Linked DNA regions of Macaca fascicularis. The protein of the gene in region 1 interacts with the protein of each later gene in a biochemical or structural test. Links are inferred from orthologs where the notes say so. Each region holds a gene or a part of one and is shown on either strand. Other genes may lie near its edges.

Region 1 (3,745 bases):
AGCGAACTCTCTCTCCCTTCATTTCACCCACTCCCTACACTTCCAAGTGCTATCAACCTTCTTTCCAGTCACCAAACAGGAGCATAAGGAGTAGGAAAACTGGAGGAGAAGGTGAGGAATCCCTTTAGTGGTTCTTGACCCCTGCTAGAGCCAAGCAGCTCTCCACCACTCCATCCTACAGGTCTACCCAGGCAATCCCCATACTCATACCAACCTGCACTGATCTGGAGTAACTTTCTCCTCCTTACCTTGCTTCCAATGGTGACAAGCCCTACAGCAGATCTACAGGCAGACCTATGGACAAATAAACAAACAGGAGAATGTGGAAACTGATCTCCTGGTGACAGACCTTGGTCCCTGGCCCCGATTCTTGCCTTTCCAGATACATTTTGTCTAGTGTTTCCCTCCTCCTAGTCCCCTCTCCCCCACTGCTTTGTTTCAGGGCTACTTCTCCTTCTCCTCCCTATTGCCCACCATCTTCCTCTTCAGTGATTGCCCTAGAATGTCCCTCATTCAGATTAGACTAGGCTTAAGCACGAGAGCAGGACAAGCAAGTGGAGAGTGAGAAAGGCAGGTCTTAGTATTCTGTATCCCCACAACTTACCAAGACTCCCAACTAAATCAGCAGCAGCAGGGGGTGGGGTGGATGGGCATAACTAGTAAAATGACAAAACAGAAGAGATGGAATTCTCTAGTCAAAGTTGCTCCCGTCCCTGTACCTTTACACCAACCTTAACAGATACAGGGCAATTTTCTCTTCTTTGTAATTTCCTAGTTTTAAGTTGGGTGACCATTTAACAAAACTTCACAACTGACAGTTCCACAGACCGGTGGACAGATCTACCTACAGGGATGCACAAAAACAGAGACCAATAAATGAAGACACAGGAGACAGTTGAGGTTGTCTTTGGTAGAGACCAGCACCCAGGGCACAGATTCTTTCTGGATACAGATACCTGTTCGGCAAACATTTTCTATCTCCCCTTTTTCTCCCACTCCTAAATCTTCAAGCCCCTCTGCTCTATTCTCAAAGTCTGACAATTCCTATACAGAGACAACTCAAACATCCCTACAGGGTAGTAGTAGTGGTGTCAACAGGGATGAAATGCCTAGACAAACCACGGAGGCTGGGAAAAAAATGAAAAGTATTTATTTCCATATTTTATCTGGGTTCCTATGTTTCCTTCCTCTCTCCCAAAGCCTATCATTTTCTGCAACATAATGCGGGTAAGGGAGGACATGTTAGGAAAGCTGGCAGAGAGTTCTGGAGGCTCCCTTACACTCCTGCCTACTGTAATCTTAGCCATCTACAACCTCCAAGTACTGCCTCCAAGTACTGCCCACTCTGTAAAAACCATGCCAATTTTCTTTTCCTTCTCCTCTCCCCTTGTGGTCTGCTGTCCCCTACAGATCTGTACAGAAACATGGAGTGCTGCAAACTTAGGAACAGATCTACACATACACACCCAAAGAACAAATGAAAGACAGAGAGAGACAGACGTGGCTATTAACGGTCAGACCAGTAACCAAGACATGAGGCCCTTTTCGAATACAGAGCCTTGATTATCAAACATTTACAACCTCTTTTTACATTCTCTCTCTCTCAGGGCTCCCCAGACAACTGTCCTCGCCTATGGAAGCAGCCCTCTCTTCCTCTTATCTAGTCTGTCTTTTCCCTGCTAGAAGCTGCAACCTTTTTCTTCCCAAACATGGTCTGAGGTGACCGAGTGTATGGAAATCAAGCTAGCAAAAGGCAGATCATTTTTTTTTTCTTGTTGTGAGCCATTCCTATTACCCGTCTCTCTCTCCTCACCGCCCGCCCCCCATGACCAGGTCGCGTAACCAGTGTTCACCTCCGATAGCCACATCCACCCCCAAGCAATGCCCACTTTCTCACCGACCTTCTCTGCTTGGATCAGAGGTAGTTTTCTTGTTTCCTTGCCTCGAGGTGCTGTGTCATACAGCAGCAGGAACAGACAGTCAGACACAAGGACTCGAGGCAATGGCGGCGGCTGTGTATGGGTACTGACCCGGCACCTGGGACTCAAGACGAGATAACCGCTTTATCAGATTAAAGACTGCGATTGGCAAACTGTTGTCAATTTTGGTATTCTTTTCTCCTTCCTGTTCCCAGGGCTCCTCAGAACCTCGAGCGTAGTTACCATTTAACATCTACCTTGTCCTCCGCAGACGAGGTTCTTCCTCGTCCGGGTTACCCACATCGGCAGCGGGAGGAGCTACAGCGTAGTTTATGGGGATCCGGCTTATGGAAGCGGAGTGATATCAGGCTTTGTCTAGCGCCGCGACTCTTTCTGTAGGCGGGCTCCGAGCCCTGTACCCTGTGGCCGCTTCAGGTATTGGAATGCGCAGGGGCGAGTTCCGGATATAGGGAAAACGGCGCTGGAACAAGAGAGGCATACAAATACCAGAGTGTTTCTGTATTAGTTTCCCTTTTGCGGGAGCTCCCCGCAGCAAGCCTACCGTTCTTTCCTGAACTGAAATGCACACTGGTTTTCAGCTGTGGTGTCAGGAAATCTCTTCTGGCCGACAGGAGGAAGTGTTCCAGTCTTTAGAAGTTCATCTCTCCAAACACAGAGGCCCACTGAAATGGGCGGTCTCGGGGTGGGGCCCAAGGTAGGGAAGTCGGCAAAGAGAGTCAAGACTAAGATAGGAGAATACGTACTAATCGATTCCGCAAACTTTGTGTTCCTTCGAGTCCCCCCTCCCAGCCCTTAATTTTCGTTTTCTTTTCTTTTTTTTTTTTTAAGTTCTGGGATACATGTGCAGGATGTGCACGTTTGTTAAATAGGCAAACGTGTGCCATAGTGGCTTGCTGCACCAATCAACCTATGACCTAGGTATTAAGCCTGGCATGCATTAGCTATTTTTCCTAAGGCTTTCCCTCCCCCCACCCCACCCCCTGACAGGTCCCAGTGTGTGTTGTTCCCCTCCCTGTGTCCATGTGTTCTCATTGTTCAGCTTCCACTTATAAGTGAGAACATGCAGTATTTGTTTTTCTGTAGCTGCATTAGTTTGCTGAGGATAATGGCTTCCAGCTCCATCCATGTCCCTACAGAGGACATGATCTCATCCTTTATTATGGCTGCATGATATTTCATCGTGTATATGTACCACATTTTCTTAATCCTATCATTGATGGGCATTTGGGTTGATTCCACGTCTTTGCTATTGTGAATAGTGTAGCAATGAATATACGTGTGCATGTATCTTTGTAATAGAATGATTTATATTCCTTTGGTATATGCCCAGTAATGGGATTGCTGGGTCAAATGGTATTTCTGGTTCTAGATCTTTGAGGAATTGCCACACCGTCTTCCACAATGGTTGAACTCATTCACATTCCCACCAACAGTGTAAAAGTGTTCCCATTTCTGCGCAACGTTGCCAGCATCTCTTGTTTCTTAACTTTTTAATAATTGCCATTCTGACCGGTGTGAGATGGTATCTCATTGTGATTTTGATTTGCATTTCTCTAATGATCAGTGATGTTGAGCTTTTTTCCATGTGTTTGTTGGCCGCATAAATGTCTTCTTTTGAGAAGTGTCTGTTCATGTCCTTTGCCCACTTTTTAATGGTGGTGTTTTGTTCTTGTAAATTTAAGTTCCTTGTAGATTCTGGATATTAGACCTTTGTCAGATAGATAGACTGCAAAAATTTTCTCTTCTGTAGGTTACCTGTTCACTCTGATGATAGTTTTTCTGTGCAGAAGCTCTTTAGTTTAATT
Region 2 (3,745 bases), on another chromosome or scaffold:
TCACTGGGTCCAGGCGCCAGGCCAGTGCGTTATGTGCTCTCTCACTGACACCTCACAACAACGCTGTGGAAGAAGATTTATCATTACTTCATTCTACAGATGAAGAAACTGCAGCTCGAAGAGGCGAAGTGATTCGCCCAAGTCACAGAGCCAGTTCGTGGCAGAGCAGGGATTCATACCCAGGCCGGCCTGCCTCTAAGCCTGTGAAGTGGGGAGAATCACTGACAAAGACACAAAGCAAAGATCAGTTCCGCCTGTGCTGGGGGGCGGGGGGATTCTCTCCCTGTTGCTTGTGATGAGTCATGGAAAGCACAGGAAATTATTGTACCCGCCACTCTTTCTGCAGGAGCAAAGATCCCCCAGAGATCATCAATGCCGAAGCCCACTGACACCCGCACACCTCATCCCACGCTCCAACACACCGTGTTCTGCCCTGCAGACACCCCATACCCTGGAATTCATACTTTCCAATTGAGGAGATTGGGTCTCTATTCTTCGGACAGGGAAACTGAGGCGGATGGGAGGCGGGGCAGGAAGAATGGTGCCTGGGCATCCATGACTGGGCTGAGACTACAGTTCATCTCTCCAACCTCTGAGTCCACGATCTGACCTATGCCCTGCACGGTGGCATCACAGCCCAGAGAGGTTTAGGGCCATGTCCTCGGTCCAGCATGGAGGACCCATTTTCAACTAACAGTAAATACCAGGGCATCTTTGTTGTTTTAAGGATGGAAGTTTTCCTCTCAACCCTTATTGGCCACGTCTGAGCTTATGGGCTGTATCAGGAGGGCTACTTCTGGGGCAAGCTGACGTCTTAGGCGCTCTGAGAAGGTCCCCGCACTCTCCATAAACTCCAAGAAGAGCACCTCACTTCCTGGGATGAAAACCCAAAATCCACTCCAGCCCAGACAAACCTCTGCTGCCTTTGGCAGAAGAAAAGACTGTTAGAGGAGGCAAAGAGAAAATGGGAGGCGGCATTTGTGAGGATGGCGTGAGGCTTCTCTGAATCCTATTCAGAATTCCTGACCAGATGGCCACTGGGGAAGGGAACAGAGAACCGGTTGGCGACCCATAGCTGTCGCCCATGGTATCCAGGAAATCACTGACAAAGGCACACACAGCTGCACAAACACAGGTGCGGCCACTCTGGACGCTCTGCTGCCCTCGGGGTTTCAGGGGCTTGACAAGAACAACAGTCACATTGTTACACTCAGACAGAATCACAAACTGACCGTTAGGGACAAGCACACACCAACAGATGAGCACCAAATATGACTCGGTAAGGGCCCCACGGCGAGGTGCTGACACCCAGCACCCTCCTGTCTGCCCTGCCCGCACGGTGCCCTCACACCGGTCTCCCCAAAGGCCCGCGGCACCTCAGAGCAGCTCTGCCCACCCCATGGGCATGTTTCCGACGTCCAAACATACAGTTGTACTGTCACAACCATCCAATCACAAACTGTGACAGATACACAAACTGACGCCAAACTGTCCCACAAAGAAACAAGGGAATGCCAACAGATAATCAAATGTAATTTACTCAACTGCGGCGCAACCCCCTCCACCACACACACACATACACGCGCGCGCGCACACACACACACACACACACACACACGATGACACACATTCCTGTGTCCCCCTCGATGTAAGTGGCCTCACCTCTCGCTGGGCCCCAGGTGCCCCTGCTGGAAGTGCGGAGGCGCAGGGAGTCCAGGGTCCGGGCTTGGGGTCCCAAGTTCGTGATCCCCACCCTCCCCCCGGGCCCTATCCCTGCGGTGCCGGCCCGCAGCGGACTCACCGTACGATGCCGAACATGACGAGCACGTTGCCCAGCAGCCCCACGGCGCACACGGCCGAGTAGAGCGCAGTGATGGCGATTGCCAGGGCGAGGGACGAGGCGCTCCGCGCACCCGGCGGCCCCGACGCATTGGCGCCAGCGTTGGGGAAGGCGCTAGGGTAGGCGTCCGAGGCGTTGGCGAAGAGCGGGGGCTGCAGCGCGGCGCCGGCGGAGGGGGCCGGTTCCATGGTTGCCGGCCGCCCCGCCGGCCGGCTCCGCCGCGTCCCTCTCCACCGTGCGCCCTGGGCGCGGGGATCCGACACCAAGGGAGCGGGAAGGTAGAGGCCGCGGCCCCGACGCCGCCGGCTGCCGCGTCCCGGCCGCCCCGCTGTCTCTGCGCCTCCTCCGCCTGCCTCGCACCCGCACCGGCCCAGCCCCCGACGTCCACCCGCTCTCCTCGCCCGGAGCGCTGTGAGCCAGGAGCAGCCGCAGGCTCCTCGGACGCGCCCGCCGCGCGCACCACGTGGCCCGGAGGCGGCCGCCAGTCTGCGCCCGCGACCGGGGGCGGGCGCTGCACCACTGGCTCGGAGCTGGGCAGGGGAGGCCTCCCGCCCCCTCCCTAGGGATGCTCCGCCGGCTCGGGTGCGCCCCCGTCCCAGCCTGGACTCCCCTCTCACCCCCTTGCTACTTTGGTGTCAGAGGGACCTGGGTGTGGATCCCGCCTCCCGCCCCTGCACTAACCGGCGGAGTGACCTTGTGTAAGTCATTTAACCTCCCTCAGCTTCATTCTCTTTGTGAGATGAGGAAAATCGTACCACCGCCCTCAGAGGGTGATTGGGGAGACTGAATAAAATGATTCGAACAAAGAGCGTAGCGCAGTGCCCTGCGCACAGTTACATGCTCCGTAAATCACCCGTATTATCCGTGCCTTTCTTGCATCCCATTCATTCGCTCAACAAAAATTTTGAAGGTGCCTAATAGAAAAGCCAAGTGTTTGGGGGGACCCTCTAGTACACAAAACCAGATGCAGCCTCTGCTTCCTGGGGCTTACAGCCCAGTGCAGGAAAGAGAGAGCAATCCTAAAATGCCATTAAGATATAGGTACGAATTGAGAAAGTGGCAGGGTGTGCAAAACGCAGGGGTCAGGACAGCTTCCCTGGGGAAACGACGCTTGAGGGGAGGGGTGAAGTTTGAGGAGGAACTAACTTAAGGAAGAAACAAGGGAAGAGGATTCCGGATAAAGGAAGCAGAGGGACTGAAAGGAAACCAGGAAGAGGAGAAGGCAGGAAGTGAGGGGGCGATGAGGTGGTGGGCAGGTTCTTGCAGACGACCTTAAGGAGCGCTCTGGCTGCAGTGCGGGCCGATAGAAGTGGGGCACTTGGCTAAGTCATCCTTGCCACACCCCTTCCAAGACCTAACCATTCCAGATTAGAGCCATCCTTCTCCTTGGGGTGCCCAGCCTTTCCAGAATATTTTCTCTACCAAGCATTACTCTGTTCCAGGCACTGTGATAAGCACTTTATCCATGCGCCAACACTTTGGAGTAGCTTCTGTTATTATTGTTCCCATGTTACAGATGAGAAGACTGAGACTCAGCACCAGATTATCCCACCTATCCGAACTGGTCTCCCTCCTTAAAGGGACTGATTGACCCCCGCATCCAGGAGAGGGCTGAGGTCACAGCAGGTGCTCAAGAAATGCTTTTTGGATGATAAAGATCCCAAAGGGAACTGAAGTGGAACAATATTAGGGGTTCTGAGCTCTAGGCTCTGGGGCAATGCTCTTGGCTCTGTGTGTGGCTGGACAAAGACCCCTCCCTCACGTCACCCTCTAGCTTGAGTCATCCATCTATGTGCAAGGCTCCTACCCTTTCCCGGAAAAAAAGCCAGAATTCCCAAGCTCACCCTCTTCTCCATTTTCTCCACCCCACTTAGCTGCTGTCCAGGCACCTCTACCAACTACAGC

Evidence for each region. The genes of interacting proteins can lie anywhere in the genome.
Region 2: the proteins of GPRASP1 (region 1) and OPRD1 form a complex in vitro, tested with the Homo sapiens proteins (2 studies listed by BioGRID and IntAct). The link is inferred for Macaca fascicularis from reciprocal best matches to the Homo sapiens genes GPRASP1 and OPRD1.

What each region holds. Positions count from the first base shown.
Region 1 is NC_088395.1:109,044,968-109,048,712, reverse strand, and holds the start of GPRASP1 (G-protein coupled receptor-associated sorting protein 1), read right to left. Parts: upstream 2,227-3,745; 5' UTR 1,902-2,226; intron 845-1,901; exon of another isoform or gene 605-844; intron 295-604; 5' UTR 249-294; intron 1-248. UniProt on the Homo sapiens protein: Modulates lysosomal sorting and functional down-regulation of a variety of G-protein coupled receptors. Targets receptors for degradation in lysosomes via its interaction with BECN2.
Region 2 is NC_088375.1:206,216,843-206,220,587, forward strand, and holds the start of OPRD1 (delta-type opioid receptor), read right to left. Parts: upstream 2,254-3,745; 5' UTR 2,029-2,253; coding exon 1,802-2,028; intron 1-1,801. UniProt on the Homo sapiens protein: G-protein coupled receptor that functions as a receptor for endogenous enkephalins and for a subset of other opioids.